Linked DNA regions of Xenopus tropicalis. The protein of the gene in region 1 interacts with the protein of each later gene in a pairwise test. Links are inferred from orthologs where the notes say so. Each region holds a gene or a part of one and is shown on either strand. Other genes may lie near its edges.

Region 1 (10,085 bases):
GAAATCACTGAGGGGTGACAAATTTTATAATCACTTACCTGATATCCTGGGCAGGTGCTCCTGTTGGCAGATAACTGCATTGGCCCAGGGTACTTTAAGAAAGCACTTTGTTGCCATCTTCTTCCTTCTTTGCACCCAGTAAAGTAAAAATGAAAACTAAGCTTGTTGGCCCAGGGGCAGTGAAGAAAGAAGCTGACGAGGATCACTCTGTGGTACTTGCTGAAAAATACCCTGGGTCAGTGCAGTTTTCTGTTAACAGGAGCACCAGCCAGGGGTATCAGGTAAGTTATTGCAATCATTGGGGTGCCAAAAATTTGCTACCCCTAGTGATTTCCCCTTTACTTCTCCTTTAAAAAAATATTTAACTTCTTGAAATCCATTCTGCGTAACTTTTATTTTTATTGTGAAGTAGAATGATTATCCAATATCTATTAGCCATAATAATTTTACTGATATTACACAGATATTTCTTTGGAGCTGGATCTCAGACTGGGGTCAATAATAATGCAGAGGAGGGTCACATCCAATCCAACAGCCTCAACATTTAGGGGCAGATTTATTAAAATATGAGTTTAGAGCTTAATACATAAAAACTCCCCCATATTCTATTCGTTTATGTATTAAGCTCTAAACCAGGGGTGGGCAAACTTTTTGGCTCAGGGGCCACTGACTTACAGACGGCCCGGGCCGGACCAACGTTATGCCCAGGGCCGCCATTAGAAATCACGGGGCCTCTCAGCTCCCACCCAGCATCCTTCAGCTCACCCCCAGCATCCTCCAGCTCCTCCCTCAGCATCCCACCCAGCATCCTCCAGCTCCCTGCAGTTCCCCCAGCATCCTTCAGCTCCCCCCTTCAGCATCCTACTCAGCATCCTGCAGCTCCCCCCAGCGTTCTTCCCATCATCCTCAATATCCTCCCACCAGCTCGCTCTCCCATTTTTTTATAAGGTTGCGCCCCGTGCGTTCCGACGTCACGCGCACGCACGGGGCGCAACCAATCAGGATTCGGCGGGCCGGATTAAAAAGGTAAACGGGCCGGATGTGGCCCGCTGGCCGTAGTTTGCCCACCCCTGCTCTAAACTGACATTTTTATAAATCTGCTCCATCCTTCTAGGGTGATATAAAGGTAGACATGAACAGGGTAAATCTTTATGGCATCATTTTAAAATTAAAATTTTCTTCCATTTGCTTTTTCTTCCTTCTTAAGAGATTATATTCTTGCCTGCTAATGCACACCCCTTTATAATAAACAGTATGTGGCAAGATCATGTGAAAATCTTCAAAAATGATGGTACATTCATGAATTTTCTGTATCTTAACAAGCAATGAACGGGGTACCAGGCTCTGTGGCACCTTAATAGCAAATCCAGCTTTCATGTGTTTCTTTTTTCCCCCAAAATGCAAGTTCGGCAACTGACTCCATGCACAGATACAATTCAACACAGAAGTGGTTTTGTTTTCACTTACAAAATTAGCAATAAATTCACACATTTAAAAGTTTTTTTTATATACATACATTTTTATCCAAGTTACTCCATATTAAGTTAATAAGAAACAGTACAAACCATCTCTTAAAACATAACAAGCAGATCGCTTCACCAAACCTACTAAAAAGAACATGATATATATCTTAATCCCATTTTTACCCATCCCAGAAAAATAAAGGCTTAAAATGTTGGGTAGGTGATGGTGCGAGAGCATAAAATCAACACTTCATTATTTGGTCCATGTTTGGTTTTCTGATTGAAAAGTAGGTTCATTCTTTTCCCAGAGGTCCCTTCCTGGTACGTCCAACCTCTATCCATAAAGAACTACATCCATCATCTTGAAAGGAAGGCTGGCGAGGATCAGGATAATACTTAGTTCTTCACAACAGTCTCGTAAGCTTGGAAGACGAACTGGGATACTTCGGGTGCACAGCACTTTAGAGACAGCTATTTACAAATACAATTGAGGTTAAGACTAAGTAAAGGCAATATTAATCCTTTTAGGAGAATAAAACAGTGCTTGTGAAGTTATCCCTTGCTATATGTAACCCATTACTGCCTGGTTACCTTCATCATGCAGGCATTATTTTAGTGGGTTCTGCTTATTAAGGGAAGAATCCTTTTAAATTTTAGTTACAAACTGTCTTGTGTATTTTAGAGAAAGTCTGTGAAAAGCTTGCTCAGGAATATCAGCAGTATTTATTAAACAATTTAATTTAATTTTAATGTAATTTTCCATCATGCCAAAAAATATCTGAGGGTGAATTACAGGAAAAGCAGTCAGTTTATTCTGAGCTGCAGCATATCTGCCATGTAGAAGTAAAATACAATACTGACAAAGTGGTATGGAAGGCTACTTTCCTTCCTTTTGGGTGGCTCTCCAAAGAAAAAAACATCTTTACAAATCTCATGTAGATGCTGACACTCTGCAGCCTTTAAAAAGTATTAATGAGCTAAAACAAAACAACCATACCCAATATCTAATGATTAGTGAACATATAATAAACTACACTGATTTTTACACATAAACCCACCACACATAATTCCACCTTTTCAGATGTTGGTTTATTGAGATATATATTGAGCAATATATATAAAAAAAAAAAAAAACGGTTAATTGTTGACTACTCACTGTGCAGTTGGGGCTACCAGGTTGCATTCTCACTTCTGCTAAAACCCAGATGCCATTGGTAAGCTTCATTGATTGGTAAAGCATATCTTGACCTTCAACTGTTCTTCGGGCCACCGTGAAGATATTGCTAGCCTGCAGCTTGTTGCTTACTGCATCTGCAATTTCAAAACAGTAATACAGCTGTAGAATATACACATATCCAATTATTTAGGGTAAAGTAACATGAATGCATTAATCCTGAAAGAAGGTACTAGTCATATAATGCTTTCAGAGGCCCTTTGACAGCACAATACTAAAATAAACTACCACCACAGTTATATAGCTGTTTGAAACTCACATTCAGCAGATGACAAAAAAAAGTAGCACACATCTAACCTGCTCAGCCAGCAATATGATGTTAACCGTAAATCATGCAATCATGCACCATAGACAGAGTTTCCTTACCTGAACCTGTAGGGCAGTCTCTTATTTGAAACTGTGCCTCATTCTCATTTGCTATATCCTTCCACGTGGCCAAAAACATCTGTCGCTCTTGAAGAGAGATTACAATTGGTTAAAAGAATATGAAACAGAATATGAATGAATAGGAAAAGGATAAATAATAGGGATGCACTGAACCCAGGATTCTGTCAAGATTCGTCTTTTCAGCAGGATTTGGCCAATTCCATGTGCCTGGCCGAACCGAATCAGAATCCTTAAAATCACATGACAGTTTGTCACAAAATAGTGTGTCTAATTTTATGTTAGACATCATTAGTCCTTAAACAGTTTACTTGGCATATGAGAAAAATTTATAAAGTGATATTGAGTTCTAAATAGGTCAGTGTTGTTCCTGGAAGATGCCATCCTTTCTCTAAGAAGTATGTACATCTATTTAAAATCAGTTATTGTACTGACAAGCCACCGCAGTCAGGTTTCTACATGCGCCTCTGCGATGCACACTGTACCACATGTAATAAACAACGGGTTCTTGCTTTCATTTTCAAGTGAAAAAATTAATTAATTAATTGCACTTCTGCATGTTTTTCAAATTCCCATTAAAACAGGGCAATAATGGGAGCCGTGCATACTGATGCCTCTTTCACTTACCCATCTTTCCATCTTCTATGAAAAGTATGTGTAGAGGGTACAAGATACTGAAGTAAAATACATCTATATTGTTCTTTACAGCAACCTATACAGGAAAGAAAACAAAGTATGTCTTTTCTGTGTTTAGCTACATACAACATGCAAAAGGCAAGGCCAACTTTTAGCTTCCCTCTCCCCATACCAGGTGTCCCTCTAACACGGTCTCAAAAATTAAATGCTAAGCAGAAACAGAACATGACTAAACATGACATACTTTAATGTAAGCAGCAAGCTAGCCATGCTATCATCATATTATAGGGCTATAAAGCTCAGTTTGTTAAATATCAGTTTAATGGTAAGAAACCTGTATACAGTATTAAAATGACTGTTTGTAAATGTACAAAGTATTTCACTGCAAGCTTATTGTTATCATAAATAGAATAACACAAACATTTTACCTGAAGGTTGTTAAGAGGTTCCATTTTCATGACAGAGCCAATTGTGTTTATCGGAAGAGACACTTCAGTAGACTGGTTTGGTGCCAAGGGTGTGAGTATCTGGAGAGGAGCAGCAGGTGCCAGCCCAAAACTGTAAGGCAAAGAGGAAGATAAACCGAATGGCACCATAAAGATTATTCCTTCAAACTTGATACGGAATGTACAGAATGTCTCAATTTGTTACCTATTGCGATTGAACTGAATAGCAAAGTCACTCATGACCTGGAGTGCTCGATTGGTGAAAACCAGGTCCATGAATACTGTTCCAGATCTTCGAGCAAAGGTACCACTAATTTCCAGGCCTTTCCCTTTCATAGCATGCAACCATACCTTAAAGAAAATATGTACAGAAGGCCAATCTTAGTGTTATATTGACATATAATTTCTTCCTTATTGCAGCAATTTGACTTTACCCTCCTCATTACCAAACAGCAGAAAAAGTCAGTTCTAGGTAGCCCTTCTCTATTATATGGCAGCATGGTTTTATTACAGCAATATAACTATATTGAGTAACCTCCCTTCTGATAAACAGCAGAGCACATTTATTGCTACAAACTACCGTAACCCATTATTTCATACTTAATAATAATGCAGCAGCACTAGAGGAAGAAACTGCCATGGTGGGTCCATATCTCTGTTATTTGCACTGTCCCTAGATCCCCTATCACACTTCATTAGAATGATCCCCTTCTTTAAAGGTCTGCAAGTGGGGAACTGTAACAACTACAATATCAATCTGCTTGTAGATGATATACTATGAACATTAAGAAAACCACAGACCTCTCTCTCCCATATCTATTCAAAACCCTGACTCAGTTTCAGGTTACAAAAACAATCCTGTCAAATCTCAGGCTCTGCCCCTTTCATTATCGTGGAATTAAAATTAATTTTGCATTCTGCTGGTCACAACATTCCATAACATATTTGGGTGTACATTTGGCTACTACTTTGATACAAAGTACACAGAAAACTATCCAGGCCTTATAACAAAGTAAAATGAGACCTGGAGACCTGCAACAGGCATAAACTGTCATGGTTCAGCCACACAGCATCAGTAAAGATGATCACTCCCCAGAATTCTCTCTTTCGGACACTTCATATTTACTTTCCAGAAAAAAAAAAATCTCTAAATTTATATGGGTGTCCTAGTATAAAACCTTACATTCTCACAAAGCCCTAATCCATTGGAAGTCTTGGTGTCTTGGAATCCACACCTGGTTGAACATTCAAACAGCGATTATAGTTAATGGTTTCATACATATGGTGTCATACATACTCTTCCAAATGTTTTACTGTAGGATTAAAGCGAATACCAACTCCTCGTAGGCCTAAGAATCCATACCATAAAGATTCAAAGTAACTGCAAACTAGCAACTAGCAAACTTATCAAAATGTGATAAAAATCACCCATGTTCTAATCAATCCCATAGGAATGAATATAACTTGAACATGGGGTGTGTTTTAAAGCTCTAAACTCACATTTTGATAATCTGCCCCATATTCTCCCACAGCCAGCCAAAAAAATGTTACACCTTCCCGGCAAAGATACTCTAAAATAGGCTTCAAACTTGTAACAAGTTTAAAAAAAAAACAAAAAAACAAAACAGTTTTCATTAGAAATGGGGTAATAGGACTCACTGCTTTTGGAGCCACATAAGGTCCAGGGACCCCACCTGTTCCACCACCTAGATCAAAAAGATCTCCCAGACCTCCGCCAAGAGATTGGCCAAGAGGATTTGCAGCCACAGGGGGAGCCATGAATCCTGTAGGAAGCTGTAGGACAGAAATTGTTAGGAATTATGGGAAACATAGAAAGTACAAAAACATTTGCATTAAAGGGCTTCAGCATTTGAGCATATATAACAGAATATATGCATGGGTGTACAATAACAAACACTGTGTTATAGCCACCAGAAATGAAATACTCACTTGAAAAAGTGAAGAGATGAAGAGAAAGGTTTAAACGAATAGATGGATAAAACAGAAAGAAAGCAGCAAATGATTATCCATCAAAGGTTATAGACAGCTGCGAACTTACCCCCAAACCAGTGCTTGCGTCTCCGCCCAGCTACAAAAAAGAATGAAGAAAAATATGGGAATTCAAAGCAACCTTATAACAGTTTCCTAAAGATATTCTGTGGAAGCTTTAATGCCAGTTCTTAATAAATAGAATAATTTAGGTGAGGGGTATAACACTTTGCCTTTACAACCATGTGTGCGGTTTCTTATATGATACAGAACAGGCCAAAAGGCAACAGCTTAAATGAGGTCCTGACAGTATGTGTAATGTATCTGTATGTAAGCAAGCTACTCCCGCCCCCAAAAAAAGCAGAGTGAAACAAAGCACAAAAAAAATCATAATAAATATCACATTTCTAAGTGGCTGTTGTTGATTAAAATTATGTAATTCTAATTTATATATTTCCTACATGTAACTGGAGAGATGTACAGCAACAGTTAGTTTCCTTAATTACATACCAAACTATCTAATCCTCCACCAAGCAAGTCCACACCTCCTAAGGGAACAGAACTTGTAGTAAGTGGAGGCCCAGTAATGGGTGGAGCTAGATCCAAGTTAAGGAGATCCCCCAGAAGGTCTCCTTGTGATGGAATGACAGAGGGGTGAGTCTCTGTGGGAACACCTGCGGGTGCTGCCTCTGGACTTTCTGCACTCTCGCTCCTACAGAAAAATAAATAAAGTTAGAGGGTTAGTCAATAGCTATAACACACTACAGACACATAGGATGCATCACCCATATACTTACGAGCCAGTGCGTGGCGGGAGCCTCTTAGGCACAACCCCTCTGCTTCCCTCCACAAAGGCATTAGGAGGCTTGTGGTAGACAGAAGCCAATGTTCCAATGTAACATATAAGCTCATCTAGCAAAGTGGGCTCAATTAGGTCAGTCTCTTCAGAAATCAATGGCTTCTCTGCTAAGACAACTTCTTTAGCAGCAACTGGGTCAGTGGACAGGAGCCTCCAATAGATGTAGCCACGATCCCGAAGATCTGGATTATCTGAATCCTAATGGACATACAAACAAGAACAGAATTTATATTGTATGACTGGTCATGTGGCGAAAGATGAGAGATCAAAAACCCAATCCTATTAGTCGGGCAAATTTATGCTATACTTAAAGAACTATCATAAAGAATCAATATGCTCTTACTGCCAAATAACAAAACCACAAACATAGGAGTTATATAAGTATTATGCAGTAGAACAGACATTGTAGCTGCTGGAACATAGTAGAATCCTGTGGTACATAGGTAAATAAGTAAGTAAATAAGGCTAATAGCCCACCACAGTATTTCACTAAATACGGTTAGCATCCTCCCTATCTCTTTCTGTTATTATGACTACCATCCTCTTAATTCCTTTTAGCACTTAAAATCTGGCTTCTTGACAGTTTCTTTCAGTAAACATGCCTATAAGTTTATTACAGTAAACATGGCAAAAAATCTGCTATTTTTAGGACTAGCATTATACCTTTCTTTCAGTTAATGCAGCTAGCATCCTAATGGTTTCTTTTAAATATGATTAGCATCCTGCCAGTATACATATGGATAATATCTTGTCTTCTTTCCATAAAAATATCTAGCATCCTGCCAGCTTTTTTCAGCAAATACATCCACTGTTTTGCCAGTTCCTTTCAGTAAATACTATTAGAATTCTTCTACCTTGTTTCTGCACGTCTAGCACCATGTCTGCTGCTTTAAATATGGATAGCATTACCTGTATCAGTAAATACTGCTATAATCCTACGAGTATTTAGTAAGCAAGTCAAGCACCCTGCTAGTGTTTTTCAGAAAATACAGCTAGCATACTACATATTTTGTTCAGGATAAAATGAAAAACAGCAGCACTCCGGTAATGTTGAAGAAAAAAGTGACTTTTACTCAAGTGCACAAGGCAACGTTTCGGGCTTCAACCCAGCCCTTTATCAAGCCTTTATTCAGCGTGCACCTGGGGCTACAACTAGCCGGTTTGTTCATTGTGTAGCACACCTTAACCAATTTGTTGACATATTTTGTTCAGAATATATGTCTAACGTGCTTTTATTTCAGTACATATTCCTAGCATAGCATAATATCGGTTTCTGTAAATATGAATAGCATCTTGCTTATTATTGTCAGTAAATATGATTAGAATCCTTTTGTGAAACACATAAAGCTGAATAAGCCACGGGATGCCAGTTTCTAAAACAGCCAGTGCCCATCAGTAACTAATTAATACAAAATTTATCAGGATAAAGCTACTGAGTTAAAGGCAAAGGGTCTGTGCCAGTCAGCAGACTCATACACACCTGTGTTGCTAAACTCAATACTTGTTGCACCAGTTCCTGGGTCTCAGTTGGTTTTTTCAAGAAAAGCTTCACAATTGCTGTTAGAAGTTGTAACTGGACCTAAAAAAAAAAAAAAAAAGATATAATTTACTTGCAGGATCCATCTTGGATTTTTAATGTATATCAGTGGTTGACAAACTGTGGGGCTGTCACCCCAGGTGTCTCAGAGAACTGGCTGGGGATCCCAATCTGAAGGCTGGGTTGAGTGAGCATAAGGGCAATGACACAAATAGATTAATTGCCCCGCAATTAACTTCAGATGGCTTTGGAAAGCTGAAGTGGCACATATGTTTTCCTACCGGAGATTTACATTTTCACCTGTAGGAAAGCATTCAAGCAAATTAGTCACTGCTGCTAGAGGAGATTAATCACAGGGCAACTAATCTCCTCATGTATCATTACCCTAAGGGAGAATTTCCATGTGCTCTCCTCTTTTTACCTAGAAACTATGAAATTCTGAATTATGGCTGAATGGCTATTACACTAATGTGTCTTACATATGTAACCATATGATCTTAGGAAGCTCTCATAAAATGCAGTGCCTGAAAAGGGAACTAAAGCTGAAAAAGGTAAAAAAAAAAATCACTGCTGTATGTTTAATATAGTATATCAATTTTACTGTATAACTCCATCATTCTAAAAACCTGTGGTGGACCAGTGAAATATAAGCAGTTTCCTAAGGGCCGTGACTAATCTCCCCACAATGCCATCCCACCGGCTAGAATGTAAATCGACGGCGGGATGGCATACGCGGCGGCGCAATTGCCAAAGTCACTGAAGTTTCCTTGAGAGGAAACTTCGCGACTTCACTGTCACAGCCCTAAAGTCAGCAAACTGATCCATACCTAAACAGTCTTTCACTAGGAACTTGAACTAGACAGCATTCTTTGAAATTCGACTGCAAGACATATAGTGCAAAACTAGCACCTGGATATATATATATCTAGAACAATGCCAGACAGTGCCTTAGCCAGTTTTTAACATGCACAGAACAAGCATTGTTCATACCTATTCTGTGTGCTTAAAAGTGGCAATTATACAGGTAAATTCTAGTGTCTAATTTAGCCTCTCAATTTTAACTGCAAACTTGTATCTTGCCTGTGTGCTCTCATCATGGAATCCCTCCAGGAAGCTCTCTAGTAGCTCGTCTGCATTGTCTATGCGTTCTGCATATTCCCCCACAATCCAAATCATTGCAGCCCGAGCCTCCGGCTCATCCAGAGAGTCCAGGTTCTCACATAAAGTTGATATGACACTTTCATACCTTAAGAGCAAGAAAAAAAGATTTAGTATAATTGTCAATAGAAGCTTATTCTTACATATCAATTAGATTATATGATTTGTAAGATGCAGGCAGAAGGAGAAATTGCAGCAAAGTAAGACTTGATTAATGAAGACTCAAGCACACCTACTTGTTTGGATACTTCCTGAATATGTCCTTTATCACCACGATGGCTTCCTGAACTACATAATTGACTTTGGTTTGGATGAGATCAAGCAAGGTGCTAACGCAGCGCTCTGCAGATTGCTGTAGGAAAGGTCAATTTTTTGTGAT
Region 2 (10,597 bases), on another chromosome or scaffold:
GGGTGTAAAACCAGCTTAGTGATTTGGAGAGGTCAGGTCTCCTCAGGTATTTTTCAAGAGAGGTTTCTCTAATATTTGGCACCCTGTCTGGGAATCAGGGAAATAGTGCGTATTTAGTGTAGTACAAAATCTTTCTGTAGTTGTGTAAACTTTATAAATTAGCCAGCCCAGAAATGTTTCACCCCACCGCTGCCCAAGTGCCCCTGTCGGGTAGTGATCGGAGGTATCATTACCCCAAAGTACTGTTCACTTGGACCACTGGTTTGCACTGGGGTAGAGGGACACGAGGTTTCGTACAATATTATCAGTGCGTGTATGGCCAGCTTTACACAGGAGGCAGCAATCCAGGCAATCCTGTTAAGGTTTTAAAGTATAGAATTAATTTCATAAAAACATTGTCATTCTGCAGCAGTTCCCTCCCATCATGGTGTAACAGGAAGATTTCCCCAGTCCTTAGACCCTGAGCTGCAGGTACTTTTGAGTTACAAAGCACTACATAAACGTGAAATACTTCATATATATATGAGCATTGTTAAAAACACTTAGAATAACAACCCAGCACTACCATGTCTACCACTCCCCCAGCACTCTATATGAATATTATTTAATAACAGCACGGTGACTTGCTTAAATGTAGTTCATTATAATTATTACAATGAATACATCTCCAGTGTAAGGACAACATAGTATGAAATAAATAAATAAAGTATCTATAACTGTATTATCCTAAGCATTATAATGCTTCTGCACAACATCCGTACACATAGAATGGATCTAATGCACTCAAATAAGCAAAGCAGAATGCCCAAAGTTGGACAGAACATTACACAGTAATACGCCATTTGATCATACTCAGATATAGTGTAAGCATTGTATACCTCTGGACCGCATGCTGTAAAAGAGTAAGTGTGGTAGCATGGTGCTGTAAAAACTGATGCTCATTTCGCACTGCAACCCTGGTTAGAAGCACCATTGCAGTGCAAAATGCATGTTAGGTTCTAGAAATTTGGAGTATCTAACCTAAAATTATTTGGCTGGTAATCACTTAAATTACTAATAAACATTACATACAGTATTTTATTTACTTGTTCACTTGTATACAACTTGAAACAACTTTATATCCCACTTGTATTTCTCCTGTATTATACATTATTGTAGGCTTTATCAATTTTAGAACTCCGTTGAAAAAACAAATTAGCTGTTATTTATGAAGGGCTAAGCAAAATCACAGCCTATAGAGCACTATTAACAAACTACTTGCATGTAGTGCCAAGTGCAGTACCAACAGGCACAAGGAAGCGCTCTGTGCATAGTATCTGCCAAACCTGGACAGGGAATAAAAACAGGCCCTGGCATTTCAGGAACACAGAGGCCCAAAGAGCCCCTCACCAGCCCACTAAATAGTGACTGTCTATAGCATCTTATAGCAGCCACAGTCTAGGCCTGGCAGTTTCCATAAACTGGCAGTAAATACAAGGCTTCCTAGAACTTTGCATTGCCCATACTTCTATCTTTTGTGCTCCAAATGACAAGCAAGTCAGGAGATGGCCATGTGCTCTAGACTACCTGCTGCTCCTGTAAGCAACACCTCCAAACACAGGCAGCACTACAGACATTCTGGGCGCAATTCCATTGGTGCAAGGTGAATAATACAGGTATTTAAAATCATGGCACTTTGACATGTTTTTTGCACTTTGTCTCTTTTTTGTAAATAAGGCCTATTATGTTTAAACTATCATGAATGGGCTTAACTTGGCTCAGTACTGACAGGCAGCTTGTGTTCTGAGCAGAGGTGGGAGTGTTCCAACCATTCTTGACTGACATCAAGAAGTTCATCCCCCACCTGCCCATCTTTCCTATCTAATAGAAAATCTGGAAAAGGCTTCTAAAATTCAACCCAATTCACCCTTACATTGTCTGACACTTTCCCTCTAACTTACCTGAGTCACTAACAAACACATAGAACATAGAGATTTCTTGATTATTTATTAGAAAAACATGAAAGAAGCCAAATATCACTATTATTGAGCAGCAGCAATCTAGTTATTTGCCACAAAGGCCCAGCAATTTGAAACATACACGCCAAAAGAACTAGCAGGTGATTGTTGTAGTTAAACAATAGCTTTAGGGCATCCACTTGCACATTCCCATAAAACTACAATTTGCCCTTTGAATAACTTATAAATAGATGTTGTAGGAACAGTAACTTGTGCTACTGTTCGTGCTATAACAGCATAGTCACTCTTTATATGTATACAAGCTAATTGATAGCAGACTATATAGCTGTTTCTTAAGATTACATTGACTGGCTTTAGGCTGATGCCACACGTGGCGTTTTTCCGCTGCGTTTTTTCTCGGCCTAAAAACGCCGCACAAGCCACACAGCCCCTGACTATGGCGTTTTTCAGCCTAATACTGGTGACGTAAGCAAATCCCGTTTCCATGGTGCTAATAGTGCAAAATAGCAAAAAACGCTGCGTATTTCCGCTAGGTCTGGCAGCTGCCTTTGCGTATACATAGGAATAGCTTGCTTTGCAAATACTGGCGTATTTCGGCCTACGCTTGAAATATCCGTGCTAAGGCGTTTTCTAGCGTATTTCCGCATTGTGTGGTTTGCTTCGAGTCTTTTCAAGCTATTTCTATGGATGATGATATCGCCACGTGTGGCATCAGCCTTAGCAGAGTAAATGCTACAGACTGACCAGGTGGGCCTGATTAGAGGTGGTTAATCAAGAAGCCTGAAAGCCTGGCAGTCAGTTTACACGAGTGTTCTGATAGAGAGGTTTCTGTGAATCCAACATACAGGAGTCTATGTGCCTGTACACACACAGTTGCCTGTGCAGAGGTCTGTAATATTGCTGCAGTTGATGTGTCACTGGTATGGAGGAAGTCTCTTTTATACACTCTTGTTACATTTGTATCTGGCTATTGAAGTAATATATTAATATGCATGTGTAAATTGCTGGAGGGTGCAGCTGATCTAAGGTTACTGGTGAGCAGCAAAAAACCCAAATGCAAAAGAGCCTGAAGTGCTGTGTATATGTGGATAGAAACAATAAGGGGCTCTACTCTTATATGTAGAAATCGATCTTCATCAGCCCCCAGCCTGGCTCCATTCCTTTACTATCCCTTTGCACGTGTTTGCTTCTGAGGGGTGTGGCCTCATGACATGCTGCAGCAAATCAGATTTCTCTCTGCTCTGTCACTCACACATTTCTGCGTCACTGACAGACCAGAGAGCCAGAGATTCTGGAAGGTGGGGGATGGGAGGCCGCTTCAATAATTAGTCATAACATTGTAACGGTGAAAAAAAATTTGAAAATATAAAGTCTAGACAAACATTTTAACAGTTTATAGCTTTTAATATTCTAAAAACATTTTTCATGATTGTTCCCCTTTAACTATAAGTTGTATAAATGACATGAGTTTTGTTTTCCAGGCAGTATACCAGACAGTATACATGCTTTAAGTCCATTCAAAACATTTTCTCATCAACCACCAAAATTCTTCAATCCACTGATGCCTGTCAGGGAGGAGCACAAAAGAAAGATTCCTGTTGAAACCCAGCCTCTCCTCAGTCAAGAGGTACAGAACCTTCTTTCCATACATCATGTTGCTCAAGTGCAGACCTTTTTTTTGCTTATTTATAGGTGATTTATAAAAAATACAAATTCAGATTACCATTATAATATACAAAGCTGCAACTTCTTGGCGTCTAATAATGAGTCCTGCCAAAGCAATAATCTTTGGCAATGTTCCACCAGTGTAGGGAAGTTTACCCTTTCTGGGTAAAATGCCAGGTTGTTTCACTGTTATGGTAAGTTACCTTTTCGCAACCATTTTTGGGAAACAGGGGTGGAATATTAAGAAGTGACTGTTTTCATACTGTGCTATCTGTCATGGTCTGTAAAATCACAGCATGTCATGGGAACAGGCTGGTGCTGCTATAATGATGAGCCCAGTAGTGGAAGCAGGTCTGGACTGGGATTCAAAATAGGCCTTGGCATTTCAAGTACACAGAGGCCCAAACAGCCCCCACAGGCCCAATAAATAGTGACTGTCTATTAGGGATGCACTAAATCCAGAATTTGGTTTGGGATTTGGCCAAGATTTGGCCTTTTTTGGCAGGATTCAGCTAAATCCATGTGCCTGGCTGAACTGAATCTGAATCCTTAAAATCACGTGACTTTTTGTCACCCAAGTACAAAGGTTAAAAAAATTTCGCTGCACACGGTTCTCTTTCACCCTTGCGCATGTGCAAATTAGGATTCAAATTTCGTTCAGTATTCAGTCGAATTTTTCATGAAGTATTCAGAGTTTGGCCAAATCCCATAATAGTGGATTCAGTGCATCGCTACTGTCTATGGCATCTTACAGCAGCCTCCTCTTTGGCGTAGAATCCACAGATTTCCAGTTCAGGCCTGACTGGAAAGTACATGCAACATGAAGTTAACCATTATTATGCATAGGGTTGCCACTTTTTCTAGGGAAAAAAAACAGCCTTCCTATATATTATTCTAATTTTTTTTATTAATAACATTGGCATGAACCATTATTTTTACTTGTCAGGTTGGTAAAATAAAATACATCCATGTGGCAAACCTAACTATGTGCTGCATATAGTGGAATTTGGAAGAATAAACAAATTTGTGTACAAGCTAAAGTTTCTTTATCCCCCACCCCCAGAATATGTGTCTTGTGTCATTCCCCATTTCTGCATCACAGTGCACTTTCCTATCTGATTTATCTCATATTCACAGCATGTGTTGTCATAGTTTAACTGGTCTGGTGTCTATGTACTAGGGCAGTGCTGTCGAACTTATTATGTGTAGTGGGACAATTACTTCTCATACAGTATGTTTAAGGGCCTGTTAAAGTCTGTGGGGCCTTTGAGCAGACTGGGGGCCATAAAAATTGTTAGGAGGGCCACATCCAGCCCATTGGCCTCCAGTTGGACAGCCCTGCACTAGGGTAATATCACTAAAAGGGGCTATCAGTACACAGCCAAAGTCTCCTTTCCAAGCACACAACCACATAGTGCAGCTTTGTGTGAGACACAGTTCAAAAAATGACCATGTTATAAATTTTATCAAATTACTATTGAAAAAACATATATATATATATTTAAAAAAAAACAACTTTATTTGAACATATTATTTGTCCCTTAATAATATTTATATAAATCCTTATGAAAATGAATTGTTCTCACAAACATGTTGCATGAGAGTCACATTAATTGCTTGGTTAAGACATCTCTAGGTTTGCATGTGTCACATTTAATATGCGTGCTTTTGTTTGTGTATCACTTGCGCGGTTTTAACATGTCACTTAAATGTTTGTGTTCACATTTGTTTTTGTGCTGTGATGTGTTGTGTGTCTCACCCTTTGCAGAGCATGCCTTCATCCCAGACAATTAGCACTGGCACTGCTGTGCCGTCAGGACCTTATGACAACTGCATGCCAGTAGAAAACAATAACACTCATGAAGATGTCATTGTAAGTCTGGGTTTCACCTTGGGGTGTTGTTTAAACAGCGAGTACAAATCTGTAACACTAAGTTCTTTATCACTGAATGTTAGATTTTGCATAGATACTTTTTTTCAGGGCATCTGTTCCTCCTCCTGCTCATGCTTTCCCTGCTTTCTATTCCACCAGGCTGCATGAACCAATCACATTCCTGGACCAGCCATTTGGCTGTTAATTAAACAGTACATTTCACAGCCTAAATGTGTCCATGTCAGAAATAAACCTTTGTAATGTGATAAAAGGTGTAAAGCTCGCACCAGGTCTAATAAGAGGAAGTATGTAATTGGTTGATATGGTTTAAGTATATGAATGGTAAATGCATCTTAATTATTGGTTGCCGTGGGTTACTAGACCCAGTGCTACTTTTATTACATTACAATCAGTGACAGAGGAGTAGGCAGGGGTGGTACACTCTGCAAGTTACCAGGGGCAGCAAAAAGCCACTCCTTGTAACTTAAAGATCCAAAATTAAAATGTTTAAATTGGAATTTCATCTCTTCTAATGCAGAGAGCGCTATTGCACTAGCAAAGAGGCCCCCTTTTGTGCAGTGGGCGCATTGACTTGGCCACCTCAGGGCGGCACTGAGCCTAAGATGCCCCTGCGTTATGCAACTGTATCATATTGTTATGCAACTGTATCATATTATTATGCATACAGTAAAGTTATGTTTTTAACACATTTACCCTATACTTCTACATTTGTTTAAAAAATAGAGACAGGAGAATGTCTTAATGGCCAGTTCAGTGGTTATATGACTAACTAGAGGTACCTGAACTGTTGTACAGCCAGGCAGGTTATACTCTAGTTCTGAGCACTAACAGCAAATATATATCTAACCTGTACGCTTACCATCATTTACAGGGTTAAGCCATTTGTTCTTCTGCAAATGGTAGCTGCAGTGAGTCACATCCTAATATATCCTGCTTAGGGTACCTGTTACGGTGCTTCCCTGATGTTCTTTATCCCTGCACGGGAAGCCCATAATATAAAATACCAGTGACAGATGCACCCAGCAGTAATAAACATGCATATAACAACACATTCAAATATTAAAATAGATATAATTAGACAGCACTGTAAATGTGGTAAAGAGATATGTATTAGCTTATCCATCATTTCAAAGAGTACAGGTATTGGACCTGTTATCCAGAATGCTCAGGACCTGTGATTTTCCAGATAGCCTTCCCAGATACTGGCTTTCTGTAATTTGGATCTCTCTTTCTGTAATTTGGGTCTGTTATAAGATCATTTAAACATTAAACAAACGCAATAGAATTGTTTTGCCTCCAATAAAGTTTAATTCTATCTTGGTTGGGATCAAGTACAAGGTACTGTGCTATTATCCCAGAGAAAAATAATAGACATTTTAAAAATTTGAATTATTTGGTTAAAATGGAGTCTATGGCAGATGGTCTTACCATGATTGTTTTCTGGATAACAGGCTTCCAGATAACAGATCCCATACCTGTATTAACTTCCTAACTCAATGCTGTTATGTGTTTTGCTTAAAGGAGTCTGAGGAAGAGGATAATGAATTTGATGGGAGCAGTAAAAAAGGAATCCACTCCAGCAGTTTTCAGCATTTCCAGCCTTACATCCCAGAAGAATTTGCTGATTTCAGTGTTTACAATGCTAGCCTGGACAACAAGGACTGGATAACCTCAAAATCAGATTTTATTTGCTCCCGGCCTCTAGAGAAAGAGATTTCTCGGAGTCCTACCACCAGCAGTATTACTAGTGGCTATTTTTCTCACAGTGCGTCCAATGCTACACTTTCTGACATACTGGTCCCTTCCAGTGAGAGCATGGATCATTTAGTCAGTCATACAGGGGATTTTGAAAGCCGAGATATTTTAGTTCACCATTCTGCAAAGGATCATACAGTTTGCTCTCACAAGGGACTAAATGGTAGAATTTCTACAGACAATGCAACAAGCCTAGCAAACCTCACAGAAAAAAGTGCCTTTGATAAAGTGCCACATTGCACTACTGATAAAGCTGCTGCTCTCCTGTTCAGAAGTGCATCTTGCTCTTCTGTGGACTCCCCAACCTACAAAACTAAAGTAAGCACTGTCCATTTCCTGCCCTGTGAAGTTGCTGTGGAGCACACTTGTGCTATATTAGAGGACCATTCATTCACAGAGTTCATGGGGGCTGAGGATGGCAAAGATCTGGAGCAACACGAGCACTCCCTGGTTTTATTTTCCAATGGAGACAAAGATAGAGCTGAGTGCAACTCCCTAGCAGCCCTCCCTAATGCAACACCCAGCCAACACTGGCTGGCAGAGGATGGTAATGACTCAGACTGCCTGGGTGATGCTGCCTTATTTAGCCAATCTCCCCCTTGTTCTTCTGAAGAAAGTTCCCTTGTAAAAATTAATTTAAATCTTTCTGACTCTGAAGACAATCCTTCCCACAATTCACTGTGTCTCGCACTCGGCGATCAAGTATGCATTGGAGAGAACAAAACTGGGACAGTGCGCTACATTGGCACAGTAGATTTCTCACGTGGCACATGGGTTGGAATTGAGCTTCATGCTCAGCTAGGTAAGAAAAAGAATAGTGGCCTCCTGGCTGCTGTTCAGACTAATTTTGGAGATGTACGTATATGCCTGCCCTGTGGGATAAAATCATGAAAATATAAATATATATGTCTGCCCCAGCTGTATTTCATATAGGAATATTAATGGTTGCTACTTGCAGCTGGATAATAAAAGGGTTTTGTTCTTTTCTGTGAGAATTATGAACTACTTTCTCCATAATTCATGCTAAATGTCAGTCATTTATCAAAAGATCCGCATTGAAAAAGCACAAACAAAAAAAAGTAACAGAAAAATACAGAAACCACAACTTTTTCAATTTGTTGCACGAAAATCACAACCTTTTCGTATTGTGCAAAAGCCAGCATTAAAACAAGCAGAAAATCTCTAAAACCACAAAGCAAAAAAATCTTCCAGTTGTCAAAGGGATATCTGAAATCCTGTTTGGCGTCAAGAAACTCAAACTGAAATAATCAGCCATAAATAAATGCCCCCCTAAGTGTGAGCCAATACTTAAAAGTACATTTTACACTCTCTATAAATGCCTTTCAGACTAGTATGCAGTTACAGTGAGGAGCATAAGTATTTGAACACCCTTCGATTTTGCAAGTTCTCCCACTTAGAAAACATGGAGGGGTCTGAAATTCACATTGTAGGTGCATTCCCACTGTGAGAGACAGCAGTTAAAAAAAAAATCAGGAAATCACATTGTATGATTTTTAAAGAATTTATTTGTATTGAACACCTGAGAAAATCAGTGTTATATTTGGTACAGAAGCCTTTATTTGAAATTACAGAGGTCAAACGTTTCCTGTAGTTCTTGAGCAGGTTTGCACACACTGCAACAGGGATTTTGGCCCACTCCTCCATACAGATCTCCTCTAGATCTGTCAGGTTTCGGGGCTGTCGCTGAGCAACACAGAGTTTCAGCTCCCTCCAAAGATTTTCTATTGGATTTAGGTCTGGAGACTGAAATACCTCTTACGGAGCCACTCCTTGGTTATCCTGGCTGTGTGCTTCAGGTCATTGTCATGTTGGAAGACCCAGCCACGACCCATCTTCAATGCTCTGACTGAAGGAAGGAGGTTGTTGCTCAAAATCTCACAATTCATGGCCCCAGTCATCCTCTTCTTAATACAGTGCAGTCGTCCTGTCCCCTTTGCAGTAAAGCACCCCCAAAACAGTTGATCTATTTTCACCAAGCTGCTTGGCAATTGCCCCGTGGCCCTTTCCAGCCTTGTGGAGGTCCACAATTTTGTCTCTGGTGTCTTTTGACAGCTCTTAGGTCTTGCCCATGGTAGTAGTTGGAGTCTGACTGACTGTGGGGTGGACAGGTGTCTTTAAAGAGCTCAGACAGGTGCTACTAATTTAGATTAATGAGCGGAGTAGAGGTGGACTATTTAAAGGCAGAGCAATAGGTCTTTGAGAGCCAGAATTCTTGCTGATTGCCAGGTGTTCAAATACTTATACATTCTTTAAAAATCATACAATGTGATTTCCTTTTTTTTTTTTTTTTTTTTAAATGCTGTCTCTTACAGTGGGAATGCACCTACAGTGTGAATTTCAGACCCCTCCATGATTTCTAAGTGCAAAATCGCAGGGTGTTCAATTACTTATGTTCCTCACTGTATATGTTGCTATACAGCAAGCTACAACCCAAAAAAACAGCTGTAGGGTTGGTTGTTTACATTTTTTTAAGATTAAATTGTTTTATTCTGCTTTTAAGGTAAACATGATGGGACTGTAAAAGGCAAGGAGTACTTCCGCTGCAAACCCAAGTACGGAGTGTTCGTCCGCCCCAGTCGGCTTACCAAAGCACTTGGCTCATCACAGAGGAGCAGTAGCAGCACTGCATGGGGTCAGGCATCACTGAACATAGACAAGAGGAGAAGTGCTGTGCTTCGAGACTCTTCAGCTCCCAAGGCACGAGTCACAGCAGCCTACCTGTCGGGGGATCAGGCAGCGTCTGCATTCTCTAGGAAGCAGGAGTTCCGCAAATCCTGGATTAACTAAGAAGCATTATTTGCACTTATTGCACAAATCTCGTGTGGGAACCAATATGTTGAGAAAAAAAAGTTTTTGTACAGTGTACAGTTTTAATTTGTCATTCTGAAACATTTACTGGATAGAGTCACAGACAATGTTCTGTTTTTAATGTGGTCTCTACATGAATTGTGTCTGCCTTGTAGGCAGGTTGTTGCTGCACACTAAAAGCATGACTGAAATTGAATCTGTAGATAGAGGGCAGGTACTGGGCTGTTCTTACACGATGACTCGGAAGCTCTATTTTAATCAGAGAAAAAAAGGACTATTTTATTCAGAGAAGAAAAATAAACCATATATACATATCTGTACAAATGAAAAGTCGCAGTATGTTGTTTATCTACCAAAGAACCTGTGTCAAGTAGAAATTTTTGCTAATGGCATTGCTTTGTACTTTCTGCTGAAAACGATAGTTCTGTGGGCTTTATAATAATAATAGTCTCACCATGCTGCCTTACAGGTTCCTTTTTTCCCTCCATGGGGTCAT

What was found.
Region 2: the proteins of ap1b1 (region 1) and kif13a interact in binary tests that used the Homo sapiens proteins (3 or more experiments, as listed by UniProt). The link is inferred for Xenopus tropicalis from reciprocal best matches to the Homo sapiens genes AP1B1 and KIF13A.

What each region holds. Positions count from the first base shown.
Region 1 is NC_030677.2:144,884,342-144,894,426, reverse strand, and holds the end of ap1b1 (AP-1 complex subunit beta-1), read right to left. Parts: intron 10,059-10,085; coding exon 9,943-10,058; intron 9,795-9,942; coding exon 9,629-9,794; intron 8,591-9,628; coding exon 8,492-8,590; intron 7,210-8,491; coding exon 6,950-7,209; intron 6,865-6,949; coding exon 6,663-6,864; intron 6,253-6,662; coding exon 6,223-6,252; intron 5,958-6,222; coding exon 5,823-5,957; intron 4,515-5,822; coding exon 4,369-4,514; intron 4,276-4,368; coding exon 4,146-4,275; intron 3,794-4,145; coding exon 3,709-3,793; intron 3,151-3,708; coding exon 3,064-3,150; intron 2,775-3,063; coding exon 2,620-2,774; intron 1,935-2,619; coding exon 1,860-1,934; 3' UTR 1,499-1,859; downstream 1-1,498. UniProt on the Homo sapiens protein: Subunit of clathrin-associated adaptor protein complex 1 that plays a role in protein sorting in the late-Golgi/trans-Golgi network (TGN) and/or endosomes.
Region 2 is NC_030682.2:92,844,696-92,855,292, forward strand, and holds part of kif13a (kinesin-like protein KIF13A), read left to right. Parts: intron 1-3,439; coding exon 3,440-3,585; intron 3,586-5,391; coding exon 5,392-5,496; intron 5,497-7,038; coding exon 7,039-8,074; intron 8,075-9,793; coding exon 9,794-10,080; 3' UTR 10,081-10,597. UniProt on the Homo sapiens protein: Plus end-directed microtubule-dependent motor protein involved in intracellular transport and regulating various processes such as mannose-6-phosphate receptor (M6PR) transport to the plasma membrane, endosomal sorting during melanosome biogenesis and cytokinesis.